Linked DNA regions of Coturnix japonica. The protein of the gene in region 2 interacts with the protein of the main gene of each other region in a biochemical or structural test. Links are inferred from orthologs where the notes say so. Each region holds a gene or a part of one and is shown on either strand. Other genes may lie near its edges.

Region 1 (3,650 bases), on a different chromosome or scaffold from region 2:
TTCATCAGCTGCACCAGAGCTGTGCTTGATTTACGTAGCTTTTTTGGGGCCTATGGCATATAGGAGATAGGTATCTTTGATTTCAAAGGAGAAACTACGTGCCGCAAATCAGTGTGGGCAGGAACTAGGCTGGAGGTACTTAAATGACCAGCAGGAATTTAAAGTTGTTATGATGTTTGCAGGAAATACTTTGGGCTGTATGTCAGTGTCAGGTTAGGCTCAGAATGTGTTCTTTGATGGCATGCACTTGGTACATCCAAGCAGAGTATTTCATGACATAAACATTTTACTGCTTGCTCTTCCATTCTCCGTGCATCGTTCAAATACCAGCTGAGCGTGTTCTTTTTTACCTGTTTAAATTTATCAGGGCAGTAAAATAATAACTTGCACAACTGAATTACCTACCGTATCTTTCACAATAGAAATACAGCTTTTACCTCCCGTTCTAGCTGAGGATAATGTCAGAGAGCTACATCTGAACACAGTGCAGTGAAAATGAAACATTTCTGTCGTAGTTGGTAGAATTGCTACTGGCAGATCATGAAGTGCATGGGCGTTAGTAGTAGTATCAGAACTGACTCTCTGTAAAGTATTGGTGTATCTGATTAATTTCTAAACAGTGTGGAAACATGAGAGTTATCCAACTAAACTCTAGACATATTTACGGAGAAGTGTCCAATTCACGTGTCTTACATTTGTACATCTGAAAATTGCTTCTTCGTGCATTTCATTCCTGAAATACAAAGAGCACAGCAGAGTGAAGGAGGCTTTTGCAGTTTTCCTCTCTTCCACAGCATACAGTAGATGCAGTTTGTCAAGGTATGCCACTATATCTACCAGATACAACTAGAAATGTGAATTCTCTGCTCATTTGTCCACCTGAGAGCAGTTACCTTAGAAATAAAGAAGTTAGCACAACAGTTCTGCTGAGTCAGGAAGCTACATCCATGTCCCTGACCCGGAAACCATTAGCTTAATACTTGGAAATCATCCCCTTACTAGCTTTTATTCAGGGAAAATATGCAAGTAATTGTGAAAGTAAAATGGAAAACAAACTATATAACTTTTTGTTTAATTCTTTTTCCTTTTTCTTTTTAGTACTGTTGGCAAATTGAAGTTACTGTTGGTAATTGAATTTTATTATACACCTTAAAACATTTTGCATCCTAATTTCTCCTTAATGGCACAAGATGCGTATCTTTCTTTAAATGCTCAGGCAAGCTGGGGCATAAGCCTGATTCCACCAAACCTATATCTCTGCAGCCAGCCTCTCTGTCTTCTCTGGGATGCTGAGTAACTGTTCCCTTACAACTGGCGGCAGCTTTCAACATTGAGCACTATGCACCTTTTTTAGACTGATTTTTTTTGCTTACACTTTTAACTTTGTATTGTCTCTTCTCTTCAATAGACATTTGTTACCTGGTTTGTTTTAATACTAATTTTATACTAGGAGTTGGAAATCTGCAAAGATCATCCAGTCAGCGTAGCACACTCACATACCAAAGAAATAATTATGCTCTGAACACAACTGCTACCTATGCGGAACCCTACAGGTCAATGCAGTACCGCCTGTCAGAGTCTGCCTATAACAGGCTGCAGCACACAGCGCCCGCCGACGATGGGACCACGCGATCTCCATCCATAGATAGCATTCAAAAAGACCCCAGGCAAGTCCACTTGTGCTCTCAAGAACCAAACATACTTGTCATAAGGTGATATTTACTGTCTTTGGGAGAGAAGTCTTTGTGTTGTTGCTGTGGGGGTGGTCACACTCTGGAACAGATCAAGGTGGCCCACGTGTTCAAGGTGCATGTAGGTAACGCGCTGTTAGGTTTTGGTTAGCCAGAAGTGACGGGGCAGTTGTTCTGGATCACCTCTGAGGGTCCCCTTCAGCCACATTATTGTTTTCTATTGTTGTTAGGGAGAAATAAATCTCAGAGTAGCAATGCAAACAAGGTCAGTAACTGAACTTTCCCTTTATGGTGAGTGGATTCTAGGGAGACCTGACTGCAGGTCAGGTCTGAATTGACTCTGAATGCAGAGGAAAAGATACTGCAATGTTCAGTGTGCATCTTGCATTATGCACTTCAGCTCACAGAGACTGATGTAGGTTGCAGTGTTTTAGTTGGTAGAGTTTTATTACATGAATCTGTTTTGTCAACAACCAAACCAACACAAGAGCACAGAAAATGAAGGGTCCTTTTCCAGTAAGAAGACTAGAAGCTGATGTGACATAGCTGTTCTAATGTAATTGGTTTTTCTCCTACCCCCAATACTCCAGAATTGTTATGCAATACTTAAGATATTCTCCTAGTTCTACTTAGTAAATAAACACACATTTGTAAGTAATGCCTTTCCTTGAATGTGTTTGTCCAACAAAGGGAGTTTGCTTGGAGAGATCCAGAGCTGCCTGAGGTCATTCACATGCTCCAGCACCAGTTCCCATCGGTCCAGGCGAACGCGGCTGCCTACCTTCAGCATTTGTGCTTTGGAGATAACAAAGTGAAAACAGAGGTACTGCAGTGAGAGCATTTCTGATCTGGGGGAAGCCATAAACTAAAGGAGCAACTGGAGCTCTGGTCTTTGTTTTCCTTTCTTGTTGCAACACCATATTCTGGACCTCGTGTGTTTGTTTGCTCTGGGTGTATGTCAGTATTGAAATACACGTGTGGACAGACGTGTGCAGACAAACACACACACCTTTCCTGCATAGCAGCTGGAAGTGATGTGAATAAGTCTAATGATGGGCAGTGTGATCTAGCAGAAATGCAGAGTACGTTTCTTGACACCTGTGTTCATGGAACTGTTGATGTCTATAGGCAGATGCTAAAGGAATTTGCTTTTCCATTCATGTGCAGGTTTTATTTGTCATTTGCACAATAAATCCTATGTAAATAAATTACTGACTCAGCAAAACAAAAGTCTCGGGAATGATTTTCTAACTCCAGTTTTATCTTGAATTATGTGCACAAAACTGCATCTCATCCAACCTGATATTCCTGTGCTGCTTCCCAGGTGTGTCGGCTGGGAGGGATCAAACACCTGGTGGATCTCCTGGATCACAGAGTCCTGGAGGTTCAGAAGAACGCGTGTGGTGCACTGAGAAACCTGGTGTATGGAAAGTCTACTGATGAAAACAAGATAGCAATGAAGAACGTTGGTGGGATCCCTGCGCTTCTGCGGTTGTTAAGAAAATCTGTTGATGCAGAAATAAAAGAGCTCGTAACAGGTATGGTTTGGATAGAGACTGATGCAGAACTGTAGCACAGATAATGGTTCTGACGTGGATAAGACCTAGAAATAACCAGTAAGTGACTGGAATTGAGTATATTGGCTGGATTTGTATTTGAGCATCAGTATTTCATCAATACAAAACCACAGATTTTGATTAGTAACAGCTAAAAGCGTTAGCACAGAAGTACAGGTTCAGGGGGAGAAGTGAATCCTGCGGTTACTGCCCCAAGGTTCCGCAGTGCAGTGCCCCTTTAGGGCGTTCTGTGGGGGCTGTCCTCTCACCTTCCTGCTCCTTCCTCAAAGAGCTCGTACCCTGGACAGCCAGCCAGGATGGGGGATGCCAAATACATCAACTTGAATAGGAGAGAATGTTACATCAGGGTGAAGAAAGTCCTATCGTGGCAGCTTTGCTGACT
Region 2 (4,127 bases):
CTCTTTTCTACTCTCTCTCTGCATATATTACCCTACGTGCATATTCCTGTATACATTATAAGACTTATGCCATTAAGAGTGCACAGGATGTGCACTGCAGCCAAGTTAATATTGCTGTTGGAGCCCCAGCCCCTGCATTTCCTGACTTCGTGTTGCCTGGTTCAAAGTTTGTTGATTTTACTTTATTTTTTATTTTTTTTAATTCTGCATTTGTCTAACGGAGTTTCTAAGAGGTTTGAACCCATTAGGGGTAAGAATGCTATGTTAAGCTCCTATTGGCACCTGCAGGAAACCTGGCAGAAGAACAAGCCCTGTACTGATGGCAAGAAAGACAGAAACATCAGTGCAAAAATGTGTACAACACAGCAAAGCCATGTATGTTCAGCAATAAGACTCAGAAAAGAATTGTAGGAATGACTTACTTGTATATTTCCATTGATAAAATCCACAGCTTTTGACTTAGGACAACCCAACTGACCTGCCAAGAGCCATGGCGTGTGACATATAGAAGATTTATAGCTAAAACAGTGACAAAAACAAGAGCAAGATTTTTTTTTTGCACAGATGTCATGACTTGGATTTTAAAGGCAGGATGCAGAAACTCATTTCTACAGCAAATAAATGGAACCAAGCATTTCACAACACTTGTGATGATGAACTAAGGCGGATGGACCTTGAGGTCCCATCACACACCGTGCACTCCTGCACACAGCCAGACTCCTGCCTACAGCCATTCCTTATTCTATGAAGCCACCAAGAACTGAACAAGACACCAACAACATAAAGACGTGCAACTCTGAAGTCCTCTGAAATGTGGCTCTTACAACACAGATGTTGGGCTTCAACAGCACTGCCAAACAACCCAACAAGAGACACCCACAAGCAGAGGTTGGTGCTGCTCTCCATTCCTCCAGCAAAGCTTTTCACATTACCTAGAGTAGTGGTCCCCCAACATGGTAAAGGGGACATAAAAAAAGGCCTCACATCAGGAAAATCAGAGGACTTAGTTCTTTTTCTTACTTAATTAAAACAAAAAAAAACCCAAAAAAATCACATTCTGCTTCTGTAAAATGTTGGTGAGTTTTTAAAAGTGAAAGAATAGATTTCCTCTAGGCTAAGCATTGAATAATTTTAAAGAAAAAAAAAAAAAAAGAAGAAGACTTCAAAGGCATGTTTTACATTCTATTTGCATTCAAGCATTTTGTTGTTGAGAAAATTAACTCAATAACGTTGCAGGTTGCATGTCTGCACACTGTGAGCTCAGCAGATGACTCCTCCAGTGCAAGGACCGCATAAGAGATGTAGAGGCCACTCTACAATCAGCAAAGTTGGTGAGTTCTCTGGAGGAAATAGCATCATCTTTGCAACTTGAGTGAACTCTGGGTGTGAAAGTGAGGGCTGCAAAGCACACAGCCACCTGCCTCAAAATGAAGGTAAAGGAACTTTGACCAAGCTTCACTATCTGCTCACAGCTGCTTCTTCTGCCAACAGCAAGTGAAATTCCTGAGCTGTGATGGCTGGAACCAAGAAGCTGATTTGGGACATCAGGATGGTGTCCCATAGTATCCCTGCAGCTCCCAAGGGACAGTGGTGAGGTGGCACAGAGATGTCCCTTCACTCGCCCTCCCAGCCAGCACAGGGACCTGACACACTGCCAAAGGATGATCAGGGAGGTTACTGCTCATTAAAAGGCTACCGAGGGAAAGCATGGAGGTTAACGGGATGGGCTGTATGAAGTTCATTTAAAACACTTTCAAAGGAGCGCAAGAGTTTTCTGCAGTAAAGGACTACAGTCAGGGACCTTCAGACAGGTTGAACTGCGGACCTCTGCCGCCCAAGGAGGGGCAGCACAATTAACTTCAGAGCTGGAGGTCAGCTCCTGATGCTCTCCTCTAACTCATCTCATCCATAACTGCTCCCAGGCTTACAATATTGCACCTATCTCAGCCTGCTTTGTGTGGACAGGAGTATTTCACAGTGTAGAGAACTACTTTATTATTATTTGGGGGGAGGGGGGGGAGGGTTAGTGGTGAAGGGGGGGAGAGATCAGCCAGATGTTTCATGCTGATTTTATTACTCTGCTGCATGCAGGGGGGTGTTCTTATGTGACTGCACCCCTCTTGCTCATATCCCCAGCACCCTGGTGCACTGCAAGTCACTCACACACACGGTCATAGTGGGATCTAATCCACATCACAGGGAGACTGCATAAGGCAACATAGTAGGGTCAGAGCCCCCGCTGCCCTCCACGTGGATGCACTGGGGTCAGCAAAGCCAGCTGAGGGTCCCATCAGACCAGGGGATGAGCCCCACTCAACCAGGGATGAAACCACACCAATCCCTGGGGGATGGACCGACCCTGCTGACACCTGCGGGGCTGTGCCCCACCGACCACAGAAGGATGCGCCCTGCTGGCTGCGGGTCACAAAGTCCCTGGGAAAGAATCCCACCGACCCCGGGGGTTGGGGAGGAGAAGCACCCCAGTCCCTCGGCTGCGGCACGCACACTACAGAGCCCCGCAGAAGGAGCCGCAGGCAACGGGGGAGGCGCCCACCGCCCCCTGGAGATGGACAGCCCGCGAGCACGCACCTCACCGACAGCCGGGGGATGCAGCCCACCGCTGCCGGGGGGGGCAGCAGTCAGCCCAGCGCAGCCCCGCACCGCACCGCTCCCCGCGGGAGCGAAGCCGCCACCGGGACCAGCACCGGCCGCCTCCCCGCTCCGCGCTCCCCACTCACCTCGGAGGAGCCGCGGGGCACTACGCACAGCCCCGATCCCTGCCCGCCCCTCAGGGCCGGCCGCCCCCCAGCCCGCTGTCTCTCCCTCTCCGCACCGCTCCGCTTCTCCGCGCTGCCCGCCCGGCCCGGCCCGGGGAGCGGCGGGGGCGGCCCCGACGGGGCGGGCAGCTCCGGAGCCCGGCGCGGGGCGGTGCCGCCAAACCCGCCCCGCCGGGAGCCACCCTCCCCCCCAGCCCCCCGCCCCGGGAGCCAGGTCCGGTGGTTCCCCCGGGGCAGGAGCTGAGCTGCGGGGAGCGGTGCCCGAAGCCCCCGCCTATGAGGGGAACGCAGCGTGCGGGGCGCGGTGTTGGTATTTTCGGATGTTCCCGAGACTGTTTCCCCTGTATTGCTTCTATCTCCGGTTCTCACTCAGCAGAAAGTGCAATTTCCAAAGAGGGTTGAAATGAACATTGAATTTCCCATTTAAAAGAGATAAAACAACACCTTTCTATTTTTTTTTTCTTCCCTTTTTATTTATTTATTTTTTCTTTAAAGTTCCTTCTTTATTCAGAACTTCAGATTATTAAAGCAAAAACATGTTTTCCAATGTTGTGTTGCTCTTCAGGCTCACTTTTCCTGGCAGCACAAAAGGAAGCGGTCAGCAGCTCTGATTTCTCTCAAGCCAGAGTCCCTTCCTGACTTGCACCCTGTCCAAGGTTTACAGGCCTAACATTAAATCTTAAAAAGAGTTCAGAAGAACCAAAGAACCTCTGAAGGACTGCCTTTATGAAAGACTGTGACAGGTAGCCACACACCAAGGTTCTCCACAACTCTCCTTTGAAGCTGATAGCTCGCAACAGTGTCTGCACCGATTATATACCCAAGGCCAAAGCTGGGAGCAGGGTTACCTGGAGCTGCTTGGCAAAGCAGCAGCAGCAGCACCCATGGGATGCCCCGTGCCCTGCCAGGCCATTCTGAGTTCACTCTTGGACGGATTCAATCCTCTGCTGTGATTTTTCCACTCTTTTTCCAGGGATTGGTCAGTAAGTAATGCTCTGTTTGTGATTTGTCCCTGTGAGAATGCCACGCTTACAGATCGGCCCTCCTGTTCCCAGGCAGCTCTGTGAAGTAGCAAGAAAGCAAGATGGGTGGGTGAGGGGGTGAAGCAGGAACAGCATACGTGTTTCCCCCACATCCCATAAGAAAATGCTATGAAGCACTGAGGCCCGGGGCTCCTGCTGCAGAGCATTTGGCTCCAGGCAGGATCACACCAACAAAGCAAAGCTGGTGCTCATAACCAGCAGTTTTTCTGTATGCTTTTCAAGGCAGCTACTGGCATTCAGTTCTGTGATGTAAATCTATCACTGCTTCTACTTCTTGATGTCAGGCCAAAAAGTAGAAAAGATACGA
Region 3 (3,650 bases), on a different chromosome or scaffold from region 2:
GAGGTCATAATAAATACAAGATATCTGATGACTGTAGAGTTTAACAAGAAGAGCTGGTGAAATTAAAAGCCTTACCAGTCACAAGAGCTTACTAACCATAAGCATGAATCTTAGCTCATATTCCTCTAACTTTCCCAGATTAATAGATGCCGCCTTTATGAACCAAGTATTTCCACTAGCGGTTTAAATCATTTACTCAAATACCTTGTCTGCCTAATTGCTTATTCAAATGAGTATTGTCTTTGAGCAATCTGAAAGAGAAATAGGTGGTAACGGAAAGGACCAAATCTATTAAAAGAAATACCTGTAGCTGTCACAGCTAGAAGAAAATCCTAAGTCAGTTGCCATTCTCAACACTACCTAGGATATTTACTGATACAACATGGTCTATAATATCATTACTAGCATCCTTAGGTTTTTTAATCAGAATAAGAAAATAATAAAATAAACACAATATTAACTTAAATGCACAGTAACGTGATGGAAAGGATAGCAACAACAGCAGGATAGCAAGATCCTAGTCTTTATCAAGACCCTAGGCTTCAAAAAGTGAGGACTTGCTCAAATGCAACAGCTGCGAGCGCAAAAACAAAGGAAAGAAGTAACTAACCTTCAGAAGGCCTCAAGCAGGCAGGGGTCTCCAGCAGGAAACCCTTGCTTTCACTGCTAGCCCATAAATGAGGTCTGGTAAGGAGTGGATTCTGACTCCACCCTTTCCAGTCACTCAGGTTCATTGCATGCAGCTGAGCTCCCCCAGGTTGGCTCTGCCTTCCCACCAGGTGCTCAATCACTGAGTTAAGCTGTGACTTAGCATTTCTGCTACATGCATCTAAAATGAAAGCCAGTCAGATAACTTACGCAAAATTACAACTGTAATTTCCAATCTTTGGAAACAGCGCTAATTACATGAAAACATATGTGTTTTCTGCATATTCACTCATATAGCTTAATTTGGTTCTAGACAGTGTTCTCTTAAAATGCAGAAGCAGAGTATGAAACTAATCCTGAAACAAATACACATATATAAATTGGTCAAGCACTGGAACAGGCTGTCCAGGAAACAGTCCCCAACCCTAGTTCAAGAGATATGTGGATATGGTACTAGGGGAAATGGTTTAGTGATGGGTCTCAGTAGGCAACAGTTATACACATCATGCCCCATGTGCTTAATGTGCATTAATTACTCTTCATGATACAATAATCAATTTTCACGATGGACACTCCAACTTCTTGCAATGCAGCTGCAAGTATCTTTCATTACCTGATCCTGTGATTTCTTTTTCTTCTTCTTCTTCCCCCAGCATCCTGAACTCTCTGCATCTTTTCCATTGGCATCACCACAGAGTAATCCATCAAGTTCATCTGTTCCCATCTGCTGTCCCTGAGATGTTTCTGCAGCTAGCCTGTATGAGAGGTTCCTCAAAATGCACACACAGTTTTCAACGGTCTGAAAAGTGTGACAAAACAAAAACAAACAAACAAACAAACCAATAACAAAACAAATAAAAGAAAAAAATAATAAAAGAAGTTAAAATACTTCCCTTGCTCATTCTGTATACAAAGCAGATGAAACATAACTGATCTTTCCAGATACATTTTCCCAGTACAATTCTTATCTGCACGTTTCTGAGTACCTCCTTGGTAACCACTGCTTAAGAGATTTAGAAAATCTGGCAGGGTCTCACACACTCTTTTATGGAAAAAAAACCAACAAACAAAAAACAGTCTCAGCAATATTTTTCCATGAGATTTTTATTGTCATCCTGAACTTCATACAGGAGCCTTATGTGAAACAAAAAATGAAAATGGCAATGGTTTTGTATGTTTGTTGGCTTTAAACCAAAAGAAACACTTATTTCTGCAATCATATCGGTGATAATTGTCAGAACAAATGGGTTCCAAGTTCTGTTTCTGAAATATTTGTAGCATAAACTGATTATGTTTCTGTAGGCTAAAGAGCAAGACTATGAATTTCAGTGGACTTGATGTTTTTACTGCTTTTAGTCAGGCTGCAAATAATTTGTGGACAGCTTTTTCCTTTCTTCTATTTGTCCCCTAAATAGATTGGGCCTTCTGTAAAAGATGCTGCTGGGAATTCTGAAACAGACCCAGGGGAAGAAAAAGATGGCATTGGTAATTCAGCATAATTTCTGCAAGTCTAAAAGAAGTTCAGTTTTAGACTTGTTTAAATCCTGTTCATTTTGTTGGTTCAATTTGGTTTTGCTATCCATTACAAGATGAATCAGCATTTATTCTATTTTATGAAGGTAGAGAGCATGGTTAAGAAAAAGTCATTATCTGACTGTATCTATTTCAACTGTTCCTAGTGCTCTATAGATACAGAAGCAATAGTAACTACATTCCAGCTCTGTTGCTCCACTAACCCAGAAGAGAGTGAGTACGAGGTTTCAGCTCTATCCTACTCTGCCATATTCACCAGCCAGGCAAGCAGATGGAGCTGCATTTACTTCCATGTATTGTATGAGCTTATGCCTTGTAATATTTGGCACAGCTTTTGAGACAGCAAAGTTCTAAAGTTCTAGAGAGGGTACTAAACAGACTCATCTAGACAGGATCTTTTTTTTTTTTTTTTTTAAAGGAGACGAAACTTCAAATTAAACTTGCACTGATTTGAAATCTCCAGCCAAACACACAAACATATACAGAAAAATATACATAGAAAAATGCAAAACTTTCTAGATTATCTTTCCTCCCTGAATGCTATGACCTTGTAGTGACCACAGTATTTTTCTAAGTTTACTACCTTTGACATTTCTTTAGTATTTCCAGGTTTGAATCTTATTGACTCTTGCTAATAGTTACTTCTGTACAACTGCAACTTGCTTAAGTTGCAGCTTTGTGTTGATTAAAGTTTGACATTTTATTGTCCCTTCTTATGAGTATTAATTTTCACACTTTAAATTCTCATTCTGTAAAGAAAACAGTTTTAACTGAGTCTACCACAAGGACAGTGTTACCTTGCAGTAGAAACTGATAATGCCTCAAATGCAACTGACACCTTTGCCATTTGGATGAACTCATACAAGAAAAGAAAGTAGGTTTTATTCTTTCTGATTTGTAGCTCTGAACTTCCAAGGGACCTTGTGTTCCTCTTTCCTACAGATATTTCTTACATTTCATCATGAATAGCCACTAGATTAAAAAGTGATTTAGAGGCAGTTATTCAAATATTGGGTTTAATTAAAATCACTTTCAACTTTGGGAAAAGGATGCAAGACCTCTGGCAACAATATGGAGTTTTGCATTTAGCTGCACAAGTGCTTTATGTCATAGTTAAAATCCTGCTAGACGGGAGGTTAAAACTAATCAGGCAGGGAGAATAATTCTTCTCTCATGTCCTCATTTTTTCCTCTGTATCGCAGCCTACAGATTTTACAAAGTCGTAACAGCTACAAATGAGAGCATAAATGGAATATTTTATATTAGTGATAAGAGGCAAAACAGAGAGCTTACTGTGCTACTTATTTAACCCTTTTAATAGTATAACAACCTTGAAATCAGCTCAGTCATCTATGAAGAAGGAGCATCAGCGAAGCTGTGAGAAAGGCAGCAATTTACTTGCACCACCTTAATCTACCTCTTCATCTCCTCCACTGAAGTTCCCTGTCTTCTCCATTCTTGCAGCCAAG

The links.
Region 1: the proteins of PDZD2 (region 2) and PKP4 form a complex in vitro, tested with the Homo sapiens proteins (2 studies listed by BioGRID and IntAct, with this or other methods). The link is inferred for Coturnix japonica from reciprocal best matches to the Homo sapiens genes PDZD2 and PKP4.
Region 3: the proteins of PDZD2 (region 2) and CTNND2 form a complex in vitro, tested with the Homo sapiens proteins (2 studies listed by BioGRID and IntAct, with this or other methods). The link is inferred for Coturnix japonica from reciprocal best matches to the Homo sapiens genes PDZD2 and CTNND2.

What each region holds. Positions count from the first base shown.
Region 1 is NC_029522.1:33,222,143-33,225,792, forward strand, and holds part of PKP4 (plakophilin-4), read left to right. Parts: intron 1-1,450; coding exon 1,451-1,667; intron 1,668-2,381; coding exon 2,382-2,514; intron 2,515-3,015; coding exon 3,016-3,229; intron 3,230-3,650. UniProt on the Homo sapiens protein: Plays a role as a regulator of Rho activity during cytokinesis. May play a role in junctional plaques.
Region 2 is NC_029547.1:8,871,805-8,875,931, forward strand, and holds the start of PDZD2 (PDZ domain-containing protein 2), read right to left. Parts: upstream 2,848-4,127; 5' UTR 2,739-2,847; intron 1-2,738.
Region 3 is NC_029517.1:52,588,537-52,592,186, forward strand, and holds part of CTNND2 (catenin delta-2), read right to left. Parts: intron 1,448-3,650; coding exon 1,262-1,447; intron 1-1,261. UniProt on the Homo sapiens protein: Has a critical role in neuronal development, particularly in the formation and/or maintenance of dendritic spines and synapses. Involved in the regulation of Wnt signaling.